Linked DNA regions of Sus scrofa. The protein of the gene in region 1 binds, or shares a complex with, the protein of each later gene. Links are inferred from orthologs where the notes say so. Each region holds a gene or a part of one and is shown on either strand. Other genes may lie near its edges. The genes, in order: SCTR and SCT.

What was found.
Region 2: the proteins of SCTR (region 1) and SCT are in contact, whole or in part, in a cryo-EM structure (PDB 6WZG), measured with the Homo sapiens proteins. The link is inferred for Sus scrofa from reciprocal best matches to the Homo sapiens genes SCTR and SCT. Residues at the interface, in NP_002971.2 of Homo sapiens: Arg30, Leu31, Cys32, Leu35, Asp71, Asn72, Pro117, Val125, Val127, Asn128, Asp129, Asn132, Arg135, His136, Leu139, Leu140, Leu142, Lys143, Tyr146, Tyr150, Arg188, Asn192, Lys195, Leu199, Phe200, Ser202, Asp203, Val205, Met219, Phe222; in NP_068739.1 of Homo sapiens: His28, Ser29, Asp30, Gly31, Thr32, Phe33, Thr34, Ser35, Glu36, Leu37, Ser38, Arg39, Leu40, Arg41, Glu42, Arg45, Leu46, Gln47, Arg48, Leu49, Leu50, Leu53, Val54.

The regions. Positions count from the first base shown.
Region 1 is NC_010457.5:31,704,701-31,712,145, reverse strand, and holds the start of SCTR (secretin receptor precursor), read right to left. Parts: upstream 4,130-7,445; coding exon 4,079-4,129; intron 1-4,078.
Region 2 is NC_010444.4:381,028-388,385, forward strand, and holds SCT (secretin), read right to left. Parts: upstream 4,056-7,358; 5' UTR 3,616-4,055; coding exon 3,530-3,615; intron 3,449-3,529; coding exon 3,347-3,448; intron 3,267-3,346; coding exon 3,174-3,266; intron 3,002-3,173; coding exon 2,878-3,001; 3' UTR 1,756-2,877; downstream 1-1,755. Other genes in the region: CDHR5 (cadherin-related family member 5), read right to left, coding at 883-933, 1,258-1,433, 1,516-1,570. UniProt on the Homo sapiens protein: Hormone involved in different processes, such as regulation of the pH of the duodenal content, food intake and water homeostasis.

The DNA.
Region 1 (7,445 bases):
TTGTTTGATTCCATGACCCCAAGCTCATCTCTGGCCCTCTCCATAAAACGCTCTGTATAATTTCAATATTTGTTTTATAAAGTGATTAGATTAAACTGAAATTACTGTCATTTTGCGGTTTGGGAGAGAATTTTATGACAGCCCCTTGGGCACCAGAAGCCAGAGCAGGCCTCTGCCTCTGGGAGCAGGTGCATGTACTGGGTAGGAACACCTGGGTTTGAGATCTCCCGCCACTGTGTCTAGCTAGCTGGGTAACCTTGACAAACGGCTTCACCTCTCTGAGCCTTAGTTTCTTCATCTGCACAATAAAGGTGACTGCTGATGTGAGACAGAAATCAGGCAGTGCTGGGAAGGACTCAGCTGAGGATCTGGTGTGAAATAAGTGTTCAGTAAGAGAAGCCTTTCCCATCATCATCATCATCATCTTCATCTTCATCATCAGTCACATTAATTTTAGGGAGAGTAAAAAACGTAAACAGAAATCCACAAATACTTCCTCAGAAAATTGAAAGTGACTGTTGAGGGATACAAAAATACCAGCAACTTTCCCCTAAGGCGTATCAGTGGCCAGCCCCCCTCAGGTGATCTTTGCAGGCTTCTGAGAACTCTGCTCACCAAGCTGCCACAGAGCTTGTCAGCCTCTGGACCCAGAGGCACCCTGAGAGGAGCAGGGACCACCACGGGCTGGAAGATTCTATGTGTCGGACCCCATCCTTGGAGTTTGTGTGTTTCTGAGCCATCAACAGAAAAGGAGTGGGATGGAGAGGGGAGAGTGAAAAGGGAGCGGGGGCAAAGACCAATGAACCCAGGCCCTGGGGAAGTCACCTTGTCTGGATATGGGTTTTCATCGGGTGCACCTGTTTCTGTCCTCTGACTCAGACACCCTGCCACCAACACCCCCTACCCTGAATCCAACATCCAGTGAACACCTGGTATGAATCCTGTTCATGCATTTACCCTGAAACATAACAACCTTTAAGGCAATGGTTCTCAACTGGGGCAGTTTTGCCCTCCCTGCTCCCAGAGGGCATTTGGCAATGTCTGGAGACACTTCCTGTTGGCACAGCTTGAAGAGATACTAATGGCTTCTGGTAGGTAGAATCCAGGGATTCTGTGGGTAGCATTCAATGCACAGGACAGCCCCCCAGCAATAATTATCTGCCTACCCCTCTCTCTGCCCTGTCCCCACCGTCCCCATCCTATCATTCTCTCTCATGTCAAGGGAGGGCCTGGCTCTCTTCCTGTCACCCCTTGTGGAAAGCCTGGGATTAAGATTCAGAATTAGTGTCAAAGCTAAGAAATCCTGCTTGAAGGAAAAAGCAGCCCTGTGCCCCACTTAACCCACTAAGGTTATCGGGTTGGCAGTTTGCCAGGTGCTTTGGCTTAAAGAGCCCTACCTTGAGCGACTCCTTCTCCTTTGCTTGACACATTTTTGTACAATGTGGTAAGCAATGATTGCTTTCAGGGTGTCATTCTTCATTACTTGTTGCTATAGGAAACTGCCCCAGCTTAAGACCGTCCACTATGGGTAGCATCATCATTTCATTCATCCATTCAACCCACATGCACTCATCAAGGTCCCTCTCGCACTGACAGGCTCTAGGGATAAAGATGAACAAGGCAAAGTCTCAGAGCTCAAGATCAAAGTGAATGTACTGGAGAGGACAGATGTGCTGGTAAATAATTACAATACTGTTGCAGGTAAAAGTCCTCATGAGATACACGGAGGGGGCACAGTAAAGGGAGGTGTGGCCAGGGCTTCCAATGGAGGGCTCAGAAAACTTCCCCCTCAAGCACCATCACCTTTTAGTCCACGTGTAAGGGAGCTTCCTGACGTGCCCTATATGGGAAGGTGACAGTGGTAGTGGGGGTGGGGGGAGTAGTAATAAGCGATTTGGACTTATCAACCTCCCCTCATTAGGAAGATGCCTATGATTTCCCTCAAGAGCAAGCCCCAAATGAATAAAGAATTACTTGAATACCCTTAAATTTCAAAATCAAATGTCTGACCACTCAGAGTCAAACAGAATAAAAGTAGGGTTTTATAGGCTGGGAGATACTCCAGCTGAAGTAGGTCAGTTCCATTCCTATTTATTGAAGGAGTTCTCTACCAAGTGTGACCCTCAGGTCTGGATAAGCCCATAAAATAACCAGAGAACCAAGATGTACCCACAGGGAACCATGTAGCACAAAGCAGTATAGGAGTGGATGAAAATGATGTGTAATGACAAGGGACATCATGGACGTCATGGATGGAGCCCTAGGGGGCTAGGCGTCGCGAGATCTGGAGTCCAGTCCCAGCGCTACCACAAACCTGCTGATGTGAAGCAGGCCCCCACTTTCTGTGGGTTTCAGTTTGCTCCCCTGTAAAAAGAGGAAATTGGACCAGGGTGTGATGAAGGCACATGGAAGCCTTGAACCCAGTGAAGCCTCTCTTTTCCCCCTCTGTTTATTCCGGATAACACAGAGGTCCTCTTGAGATTAAAATGTAGGTTGAACCTCAGTCCTGAAGCCCAGCCACCTGTTGATTTCTTCTGACAGCAGAAGTTACTGGAAATACTTTAAAAGGAGGCTGGGCGTGGGCGTGGGGTGTCACGAAGAGGAGCTGCTGCCTCCCATTGGGCACTGAATAACAGCACACCTCCTGGCTGCATTTGGTTTTGAACTCACTCAGTGTCTCAGGTGGCACTTCCCCAAATTGAGAGCTCAGAGGAATGAGTGGGTGCTGTTGCCCTAGCACTTTCCAACGCCAGCACCAAGGATAAGAGGCTCCAAGGTTACAAGAGAGCTGGGAACAAGAGCCTCAACCCCCACTCTGGAAGGTCTTGGGCCCCTCCTGAGGGTCAATGCTCCCATCAGCTCAGGAAGCAGGTTTTTCTTTTTCTTCCTTTTAAAAATTTTTATTTATTTATTTATTTATTTTTGGCTGCCCCACCTGGCCAGGGATCAGATCCGAGGGGCAGTGGAGGGGCAGTGGAGAACTAAGTTGCAGCTACGGCAACTCCGGATCCTTAACCCACTGCGTCCAGGCAGGGATCCGATGCATCCCAGCGATCCCAAGAGGGTGCCGATCCTGTTGTGCCACAGCGGGAACTCCAAGCAGATTTTTCTTATAATCAAGGAGGACAGGAAAGATAAGGTCATTGGACACCAGGGAGGACTTGCCCAGGACAGAGATAAGACTCAGAATTGGGTTACCAAGCGTTTTCCCTGGGGAGTTTCTTGGAAGCCTAGTTTGGAAGGTGGGTGGAAATGAGTTGTTCTGGAATCTGCACGCCCACAGCCCACCCCAAGAACCCCTCCGCATTGCTTCCATCAGGCCTGTCTGCCTCTCTCAGTCAGGAATCCCCCAGGGAGAGGACCAGGATTCCCCAGAGTTTCTGAGGGAGAGAAAAAACAAGCCACCCACTCTGCTGCCTTCTCTTTTCTCTTCCAGCTCCTCCTAGGATCTGGTTTGCGGAGACCAGCCGCTCCCAGGAGTCCCCAGACATACAGACATTGGGGAGCCAAACCCACAGGAGAAAGGAGGCAGGGAGCGCCAAGCAGTCCCATCACAGACCCGGCAGCTGCAGTCAGAGCTTTCGGACGTTTTCCCATCCTCAGCTGGGCAGCGTGTGTGAAAATGTCAAGGCTTTGGGGGCAGACGGATTGGGTTCCAATTGTCTTTTCTTGGGCCAAGATATTTGGTCTTTCCAAGTGTCCGTTTCCTTGTCAGTAAAGTGAGGGTGATAATATCAACCTTGAAAGGCGATGATAAGGTTTCAATGAGATAATGCAGGCAAAGTGCCCAGCACACAAAAGGCATGGCCAGGGGCAGCTCCAGAATTGCTCTCTAGGAGGGGGTCGGGGGCGCAGCTTGGAGGAAGGGGTGGGTGGAGGGCAAGGGGGTTTATCTTAGGACCACCTTCTCCTGGGCACACGCTGTTTTTATTTTGGAGGAAGCGGCCTCTGGAGAGGAGGGGATCGTTGTTGGTGGGGACGGATGCAGAGGAAGGGTTCCCGCTCCTCAGCAGAGGATCCTGGGGGTCTCCGTTCACCCCCCATCCCGCATGGGGCCGGCGGCGACGTGCGTACTCACCGTGTGCGCAGCGCAGGTGAGCAGCAGCAGCGGCGACAGGCGGAGGCGCATGGTGCCCCGTGCGCTCCCTCGGCGCCCGGACGGCCGCCAGCCCGCTCGCATAGCCAGTTCTGGGGCTTAGCGTCCCCCGCAGGCGCTCGGACCCGGGCCGGGCGCTGCGCCCTGAAAAGCCATGACTGGGGCACTCCACCCCACCCCCGGACCGCGCTTCCTCCCACGAGGCGGCCGCACGCGCTATGCCGCCGGGCCGGGTTGATAAGTACGCGCGACGCAGCCGGCGCTCCTCCACCTAGTTGGGACTGGCTGGGGGCCGGCGCGGAGGCCGGCGGGGGAGCAGGGCGGGAGGGCTCAGGCGGGGAGCTGGTTCCCGCAGGCTTGGCAGTGGGGGGAGGAGACCGGGAGCGAGCACGCGGGCTCGGCCTTGCAGCTGCCACACCCCCTCGGACTGAAAGAGCTCGCTCCTAAGGGCTGGGTCAGTCCCGCCACCGCTTTGCTGCATGCGACGCGCGACGAAGGCCACCTTTTTGAGCCTCAGTGTTCTCTGGAACAACACATCTGATGATACCCGCCTTCGGGACGTAGGGAGGTTGTGTTAGTGTCCTGTGATGTAGAGGAGTGCTCAGGAAAGCCCTGTAGCATCCATTCTGCCCATCAGCTATTCCATTTCGAATTTTCACTTCATATTTCTTTCCCATTAGCTACACATGCTCATTCCAGAAAGTTTTATTTACACCCGTGAGCTCCATCACACTGAGAAGGCTTTGATGATCAAATGAGACCAAGAACCACCAACTGGCCCCAGGCGTTGGGAGCTGGGCTAAAGATGAACCCCCGGAAGCTTTGTGGTTCCGGGAGGTCATTTAAGCAACAGGGAGATAGCTCAGTATTGTTCATCCTGAGTCTGAGTGCTCAGAAGTCCTGGAGGTTGGCTTTTGGCCCCTCGGTGTTAGACCCGTTTTTTTCCTTTCTCAGCCCTGATGCCTCTTCCATATCCTCCTTCATCTTTCCGTCTCTCCTTCATCTTTCTCCCAGGCACTTTAAGAACATCAGCCTTTGAATTCTCTCCAAACCCCTGGGTGGTTTTATGCCTGTTAGACAGGAGGGCATTGAGGGTGGAGGAAGACCAGTGATGTCACCAGGTACATGTGACTCAGAAGGTCAGAGGGGAAAAGCCTGGATCTACACACCTCTGGCTGACCCTAACTCTGAGTGGCTAGCCTCTGGTCAGACTACTTAGCAGCTATTAAAGTAATTTACTCAGAGTTCCCGTCCTTGCCCACCAGAAACGAATCTGTCTAGGAACAATTAGGTTGCAGGTTCAATCCCTGGCCTTTCTCAGTGGATTAATGATCTGGCGTTGCTGTGAGCTGTAGTGTAGGTCCCAGAGGTGGCTCAGATCCCATGTTGCTGTGGCTGGGGCATAGGCCAGCAGCTGTAGCTCCGATTTGACCCCTAGCCTGGGAAACTCCGTATGCCTTGGGTGTGGCTCTAAAAAAAGTAACTTACTGGAGCCTTTAGCAGCCTTCCCTACTGAAGATGCTATTGCTCAAGTGAGGTGAGGTTGATAAACCATAGCAGAAATAGATGGGGGGAGGAAGTTCCCATTGTGGTGCAGCAGAAATGAATCCAACTAGTATCCGTGAGGATGCGGGTTTGATCAGTGGGTCGGGGATCCGTTGGTCGCAGACATGGCTCAGATCTGGTGTTGCTGTGGCTGTGGTGTAGGCTGGCAGCTGTAGCTCCAATTCGACCCCTAGCCTGGGAACTTCCATATGCCTCCGGTATGGTCCTAAAAAAATAGAAGGAGGATAAATGGCTTTAGTTCTCCCAGGTCCGCAGTCAACATTCAGTCCATGTCAACCTAATATGTGCATAACCACTAAGTCACTTTTAGGAACTTTTGCTGTAGAAGTACTTACCCAAAGGCCCAATGAAATATGCACAAGTTTGTTAGAAGCACTATTCGAGCAGCAGAAAGCAGGAAGGAGGTCATGTAATCTTCCTCTCTCTACCCCTCATTAACCCCCCTCCCCCACATGTGAAGGTGAGGCAAACTCTACATGATTGATGCTTTGGGGTGAGGACTGGCATGAGGTTACACACACACACACACACACACATACACACACACACTTCTTGCCTTTCACAGCACTCCCACCAGCAGAGAGCCTGTACCTAGATGGCCCTGGGCCAGGCTGCCATTGGAGGTCAAGGTTCTGACTGCCTTGATCCAGCATAGCCAGTGGCAGGAGGTGATTTATCTAATTCTGGCCCACAAGTGTAAACCACATTCTCTAAGACAAACAGCACTAATAAACCCGCTTGCCCACAAGTATACACCACATTCTCCAAGACCAGCATTATCACTAATAAAAGTGATACAGGGTCCCATCTGTGTTAATCTTGTTTCCCTGTTGGTTCAAGATTGAGACTGGAAAAAATATTATTAACTGGGTCCCCTAAATTCTGACACCCTAAATGTGCATTAGAAAGTGCGTGAGGTAAGAACTTGCCATTTTTACTGTATAGACTTTCGTGTTGCTTGAATATTTTCTATAAGCACAGTCTCTATTGCTTTTTTGATGGAAAGACATAAAAAGAAAACAAGGTAATTTGTGCTCTATATTGGACCCTTGTGATCTCCAGTGAAAAAGCAAAAGGAAATTTGTTCTGGGCAATTCAATAAAGTTCTAACCTGTGGCAAGCCATTTGTCTTTAAATAGGAGGCTGTGTCTCTCAGCGTATTTTGAGAAAAGGATCAGAAGTGCCCTGTGGGAAGCTGTAGATGCAGTTAGTGGCTTTGTAAAACCTGCCAGAGAAAACAATTTCATAATAAGGGTGGAAAGGGAAGGCTAGGAAACTAACACTTTTTTTTTTTTTTTTTTTTTTTTTTTTTGCTTTTTAGGGCCGAACCCTTGGCATACGGAGGTTCCCAGGCTAGGGGTCCAATTGGAGCTACAGCTGCCGGCCACAGCCACAGCCACAGCAATGCAGGATCCAAGCCACGTGTGGCAACGCTGGATCCCCAACACAAGGCCAGGGATCAAACCTGCATCCTCATGGTTACTAGTTGGATTCGTTTCCGCTGAGCCACAAAGGGAACTCCCTAACACTATATTTAATACCTGCCACGTGCTGGGGAGTCTTTTAATAATTTGAAATGTTATCATAGCCAATCCTCCAGGCCTCTATGAGGGACATTTGCTCTCCTTGGTTAATATGATGTGTGAACAGGAAATTGGCACTTGCCATCACTTGCCATCTGCCTGCCTTTACACGGACTGAATCATGAGCCACTGCAGCTGCCCACCTGCAGGACCTCCTGAGCAGAGCTCAGAGTGGAGACCAGGAGTGAGGCATTCTGTGC
Region 2 (7,358 bases), on another chromosome or scaffold:
CCCAAGACAGCTCTCTGCCTGGGGCGCCTGCCCCACCAGCGATTACAGACAAGGAACAAAACCCAACTGACAAAGCACAGAAGGTGCAGCTGCCCTGGAGAAAAATAACACAGGACTGGGGGTGTGACCAGCAAAATCTCGAATGAGGAAAATGGCCACCCCGTGGAATGTCTTCAAACATAAATCTCAGAGACAATCGGGAAGCCCGTAGATTGAAAGAAACGTGAGACAGACATCAGCCGGTTGCATTAGGTGGGCCTTGCCTGGGTCTTGATTCCAACAGGAGGCTGGAGCTGGGGCGGATAGTGGGAGGGGAGGCTGGGGACCCCCGGCCTCTTTGAGGGCTGGCGCTCTTGTGCCAATGGCCAAGAAGAAGCATCCTTTATTTCTAGGGGCTCATCTAGAGGTATCTAGAGGCGGGTGGTATGCTGTGCTGTCGGGTCGGGCGCTCACAGGGCTCAGGGGAAGCTGCTGAATGGCAGGTGCAGGAGGCTGCGGGGGAGGAGCCTCTCTGCGGAGAGGCCTCAGATATGGGGAAGGTGGAGCTTGAGGCAGAGCCAACAGATTTGCTGGAGCAGGGGTGTGGGTGGGGGGCGGGAGTGAGGGCTGGGCTGCAGGGCCGGGCACCTCTGGGGGTGGGGGGCTTGGATCTCGGGTCAGGGCTGTCCTCTCCTTCCGGAGCCGGGGTTGGGAGTCTGTGGCTCAGGCAGAGTCTGGACTGAAGAGAGTGTGGGTGTCGCCAGCACAGGGCGACACTTGAAAATATACCAGTGGGTGAGGTCACCAGGGAGTGACCGTGGACCAGGCGGAGCAGAGCACAGAGGTCCAAACAGAGTGCCCTGACGTCGCGGGTGAGGGTGGGGCGGGGGGGGGCGGACTCACCACAGTGTCCCCTCTCTTGCACTCCAGGTGTGCCTGCAGCATCGAGTTCTCCTGTGGGGGCGGGTGGGTGCTGGGGGTCACCCGGTCCGCTGGCCGCGGCACACAGTCCCCATTTCACAGGTGAGGAGACTGAGGCCGACCTTTGTTTAGGGCCCCCATCACCCAGGCTGGGTCCAGAGGCCATCGGGCCCAATCGGTTTCCCTCAGGGCAGCCCTCAGCCAAGCCTGGGGCCCAAGAGGCCCCCTGGGGACACTGAGACCTATAGGTCCCCAGAAGGCCCATCCCTGGGAGGAATGCGTGTGCCCACACGGCCCCTTGGGGGTCCGCTGCCCCGCCGCCCTCAGGGGCCCCACCAGCCCCGCCTCCACCAGTACCTCGTAGTCCGGAGTTATGTTGAGAAAGAGCTGAGTCCCCCGGATGCGAAAGGCAAAGAGAGTGGACGAGGGTCCGAGGGTCACCTGCTGGTCCTCGGGGACATAGATGTCCAGCAGGGGCGCGCTGAGAGTCGTGTTCTCCTCGATCTCGAAGAAGGTCTGGTTCACAGAGCAGACTGGAAGTGGACGGAGGGTCAGTGCCCTCCAGCCCCCGTGGCCGCCCAGCCCCGCCCCCAGCCCCGCTGCCGCCCCCAGTACCCTGGGCCTGGGCTGTGGCCACGAGCAGCAGGAGCAGCAGGGGCCAGGTCCCCATCTCGGCAGCAGACAGCCCAGGGGCGGGTCCAAGCCTGCCTGGCGTCCAGGACCCTCTGAGCACCGTGGTGCTGGCGCAGAAGCTCCAACTGGGTGACCTTCGGCCCTGCCAGGCACCGCCCCACTTTATGAGCCCTTAGGCCCGGGAGGACCGGCCTCCACCAAGGGGACTCCCGCCGGCCGCCCGCCAGGCCTAGCCTAGCGCCAGGAGGGGCCACACGTGGGGGCTGCCGGGCTCCACCCACAGACCCCGAGCCAGGCAGGCTCCAAGGGCTGCCGGGGCTCCAGGGCCTGCGCAGTGGGGGCTCCAGGCGGTGGGGGGGGTGCGCGGGGAGGGGGGTCTGTGTTTGCTACCCTCCCCCACAGCCGGGCCCTGTTCCTAAGCCAGTCCCCTGAGATTCAGACCGTAGCGTTTCCGCGCCAGGCCCATCTCTCCTCCCCCAGCCAACCCTCTCGGTCTGGAAGGGAAGGGCTGTGCCCTCCAGACGCCCCTGCGGTTCCAGAAACACGCAGGCTTCCTCCAGGGGCTGGGCAGGGTCACAGTGACACAGATGGCACTGCTTCAGGGGGCAGCTGGGAGCTCCTGGGCGACCCTGGGTCCCAGCAGAGGGGGTTCTTGGTGTGGCTCCCTGGCCCAGGCCCCAGCGACCCCACCTCCATCTCTCCTTGGGCTCCCTGAGCCCAGCGCTGGGAGAGGCCACCCGGTGGGGCTGGGAGGAAGGGCAGGGGCTGCTGTGAAGGCAGAGCCTCTCCTGCCTCCAGGCCTGGAACACCTTCCCCAAAGTTCCAGGCCTGTGCCCGGCGTCCTACAGGACTTCCTGGGCTGTCAACACTGTCCCTTCTGCACAGGCTCTGAGTCAAGCCACTCGTCCGAGAGCACAGAACCCGAAAGGGAGCCAAGACACAGCTCAGGTCCTTTCACTGGGGTGTGGCCTCCTGGGTGACACCCCCTGTCTGTCACCTCTTCCTGCTGGGCCACAAGGCCCCAGAGCAGGAGCTGGGGGACATCTGAGCCTTTGCTGCACAGACGACCAGGGCGCGGATGGGGCAGGCGATAAGGAAGCGCTCCCCCCTGGCTCCCCAGGCTGAAAGGGCAGCTGGGCGTGGCCACGGTCCAGGCCTCCTTCCCTCTGACAGCGCTCCCCTGCGGGGGCTTCCTCGGTGGTACCCAGATGGCGCACAGCATGGAGCGGGCTCGCAGGGCCGGGATGAATTTCTCCTTTATTGATGCCAAGAGCAACCCTTACTCCCCCCCACCCTGCCCCTCCGCCAGGCTCCCCTTGTCCATGGAGGAAAGCTCCTTCTTCCTCAGGGTGGCATCGGGGACCCCTCCGCAGCAGGGATGGCTGGTTCTGACACCAGGGCCCCAGCCCTCAGTCCAGGAGGCAGCCAGGGAGACCAGGCCTGATCCACTGGGGGCTTCATGGGCATCCTGCAGAGACAGCCAGGTTAGGGGCGGCAGCCCGAGACCTCTGCACCTGGGGAAACCGAGCCTCCTCTGGTCACCAGCGCTGACAGTTTCACCTTCCCAGACCCCTGGCCCATGGCCGTGTCCAGTTGCTGGCCCAGGGAGGGAAGGGCTGGGCGTTGGGGCTGGCGCTCACCAGGCCTGCAGGGCGGGCATGTGGGACCACAGCTGGCAGAGGCGGTCCTCCCCAGACTTGGTCCAGGCCGTGTTGTTCTCCGGATCCTGCTGGCTGCCCCCCACCCCAAGTCAGAATTAGTCCGCAGTTGGGAGCGGGCCACCGTTCCCGCGGGGCTCCCCGCCGCCCCTCACCTGCGCTTCCCCACCAGGCCCTGCAGCAGCCGCTGCAGCCGCGCGCTGTCCCGCAGGCGGCTGAGCTCGCTCGTGAACGTCCCGTCCGAGTGTCGCGGGGCCCTGCGGAGGGGGCGGCGGGCGGGTCAGGGCCAGGCCGGGGTGCAGGCCGAGCGGCGGGCGGGCCGGGGTCCGCGGGCTCACCTGGGGGGCGCGGGGCGCGCGGCGCAGCCCGCGAGCAGCAGTAGCGGCGGCAGCAGCAGCAGCAGCAGCAGGGCCCGCGTGGCCATGGTGGGCGCGCCGGCGGGGGCTAAGCGGGCGCCGGACCGCGGCCCCTTTATAGCGGAGCCGCCGGGGCACCGCGCCGCGCCCCATCGATCGCGCGGGAAGGTCAGGGCCGCCCCCCCAGCTGTCGCCCCGGCTGCCTGCCCGCCCGCACCGCCGCGGTGGCGCCCCGCTGGGGTCGGGCGCCCCGGGAGCGAGGGGGACACCGCGGGCGGGGGAGGGCTGGCGCTTCCTGCAGGGGAACAGCCTGTGCAAAGCCTCGGGCTTCCCGGAGCCGCCACGGACGCTTAGGAGGCCGAGCAGAGCCCCGGCCAGGATGCGCGGAGGGCCCGGGGCGGGCAGTCGCGGGGGCAGGGCTGGGACCAAGGCCAAAGCCGCCGAAGCTGCGGACCGAGTGACCTTTCCCCACTGCGGGGCGTGGGGCTCCGGGAGAAGAGGAGCGGGGAGCGGCGGGCAGGTGGCGCACGGGCCGCGCAAGAGGGGGCCTCGCCCCCCCCCCCCGCCCCCGCGTTTGTTCGCGTTTTTGTTTTGTTTTGTTTTGTTTTGCTGCCTTTTTCAGGGCGGCATGTGGAGGTTTCCAGACTAGGGGTCGAATCGGAACTGTAGCCGCCGGCCTACATACACCACAGCCACAGCAACCCCAGATCCGAGCCACATTTGCAACCTACACCCCAGCTCCTGGCAGCGCCAGATTCTTGACCCACTGGGCGAGGTCAGGGATCGAACCCGCAACCTCATGGTTCCTAGTGGGATTCATTTCCACTGCGCCACGACGGGAATTCCAATTAGTAGACTTTTTTTAGAGCAGTTTGGGTTTACAGAAAAATGGAGCTGAAAGTACATGGACCTCTCTCTCAAACACACACACACACACACACACACACACACACACTTGCTGGCACACCAAAGGCTTCCTCAGCACTGGACACTCATTTGGGACATTTGTTACAACTGATGGACCAATACTGACACATTGCTATTAACCAAATCCATGCTCTGCAGTAGGGTCCATCTTGGTATTGCACATCCTGTGGGTTTTAACAAATGTGCCCTGACACGTGTCCGCCCGGATAGAGGGCGGTGCGCCGAGCGTTTCTCGGCCCTAAAACCCCCCTGGGCCACCTGTTCATCCCTCCCCCAGCCACTGATCCTTTTACGCTCTCCACCGTTTTACTGCCTCCAGAATGTCACAGAGCTGGATCCCACAGTGCGTGGCCTCTTCTCATTGGCTTCTTTCGCTTAGTGTTGTGTGTTACGGTGCCTCCTCGTCCTTCCGTGGCCCGATAGCTCTTTTATTTTTAGCACTGAATAATATTTCACGATCTGAGGCGCCAGTTAATCTGCTCACCTGAGGAACATCTCGGAGGTCTCAATGTCTTGGAGATTATGACAGAAGATGCTCCGAACAGCCAGGCGCAGGGGTTTGTGTGGGCATAAGTTTTCAGCTCCTCTGGGTCAGCAGCAGGGACCGCGACTGCAGGCTCACACGGCTTGAGTATGATTTTCCTTGGGGGAAACCACCAGACCATCTTCCAAAGGACTGAACAAGTCTGCATTCACACCAGGGCAGGCATGTTGGTATCTCGTTGTTTCCGTACACGTATTTTTTTTTTTTTTTTTTTTTGGCCAAGCCCACAGCTTGCAGAAGTTTCCAGGCCAGGAGTCATAGCAGTGACAACGTTGGATCCTTAAGCTGCTGAACAACCAGGGAGTTCCCGTATACGTATTTTTAAACAGCTTCTTTGGCCTCTTCTTGCACAAATTAGGCAGATTAAAGCCTGTAATAAACTGTAACACCGTTGACACTGACCCGTTAATTCCAGTCGCAAGAACACTCCCAACACCAAGTACTGATGTAACCGGTCGATTTCTTAGCACCTCAGACACTTATGCGACCAGACAGAACATCACAGGAAAAACCTTCCTGCTAAAAAGAGTGAGGCGTTCTCGCTGTGGCCCAGCAGGTTAAGAACCCAGCCTAGCATCCAAAACCAAAGACCAAAAGCCTCGTTCGACCCTTGGACGGCAGGAGAGCCCCAGAGAGGCCCAGGACGTGAACCCCTGCTCCGGCCTCATCGCACACCCAGATCCGCTCCTGTGGGTGCCTGGTCCAAGCCTCCACGCAGACCGCGCTCTGTGGGCCGGCCCATCCCGATAATTGCTGGTTTCAGGGACGGGATCCTACGAAAGAACGAGCAGCTTTATTTTCTGAGTGGAACGTAGGAGGGAGCACATTCGAAACACAGTTTGATTCTCTGAACAGCAACGTGCAAAAAATATTGTCTCTACTCCTTTCTTGTTTTACTCATTTGTTTAATCTTTTCTTTCTTTCTTTCTTTCTTTCTTTCTTTCTTTCTTTCTTTCTTTCTTTCTTTCTTTCTTTCTTTCTTTTTCTGGGAAAGTTCTGGGAACTCCAGAACTGCTGTTTTAACCAAGATTTAAATGTCAAACCTCAGGGAGCTCCCGTCGTGGCGCAGTGGTTAACGAATCCGACTAGGAACCACGAGGTTGCAGGTTCGATCCCTGGCCTTGCTCAGCGGGTTAAGGATCCAGCGTTGCCCTGAGCTGTGGTGTAGGTCGCAGGTGTGGCTCGGATCTGGCATTGCTGTGGCTCTGGCGTAGGCTGGTGGCTCTGGCTCCGATTAGACCCCTAGCCTGGGAACCTCCAGATGCCGCGGGAGCAACCCTAGAAAAGGCAAAAAGACAAAAAAACCCCAAAATGTCAAACCTCAGTTATTTGTGTCTGCTCTTGGTTCTCCGTGGCAAGTGTTGAAGGAGGGTGCTGGAAACACCTGCTTCTTCCAGATCACAACCCCTCTCCTGTTGCCCGCTTCCCTCGGGGCTGCGGACTCCCGGGGACTTACATTATGTTCAGCTGAACCCACTCTGTTACTGTGGTTCCAGGCCCGGCTTTGGGGATGTGGGCCTGGAATCCACAGTAATATGGTGTGGCCTTACGGTGGCCTGAGTGGACACTATCTCTTAATGACTAGAAAGAGAAACCTAGGTTTTATTATTGTAGAGAATTAAAAACACACAAAAGTAGGCGTTCCCTGGTGGCGCCATGGCTAAAGGATCTGATGTCGTCACTACAGCAGCGGAGGAGGCTGCTGTGGCGAGAGTTCCGTCCCCTGCCTGGAAACTCTTCCATATGCCAAGGCGTCAGCCAAGAAAAAAGGAGGAGAAGCCATCGCCAAATCCGAGGTCATAGAGATCGGCCCCTATATGTTCTTCTGAGGGTTTCGTAGTTTTGAATCCTTATTAAAGTCTCGGATTCCTCTCGAGTTCACTTTTGTGTGGGTGTGTTTGTGTGGGGGTGGGCTAGGGCTCACCTCCATGGCTTTGCACGGGGATGTCCGCGTGTCCCAACACCTCCTACTGAAGAAACTCCTCTCTCCCCACCAAACAGTCAGGGCACCTTGTTGGAATCAGCTGATTGCAGATGCACAGGCTCATCTAGGAACCTTCGCAGCTTTGTAGAAGTTTTGAAATCAGCGGTTGGGCCAACTTTGCCTTTCTTTTTCGGGATTGTTTTAGTTACTTGGGTTTCTTTGCAATAATGCCATGTGAATTCAGGGTTGGCGTTTCCATTTCTTAAAAAAAAAAAAAAAAGTCCACTGCGGACTTCTCGCTGTGGCCCCATGGGATTTGCAGCATCCCTGGAGGGCGGGGACACAGCGGGTTAAGGGTCTGGCGTTGCCTCAGCTGCAGTGCAGGCTGAAACTGCGGCTCAGATTTGATCCCTGGC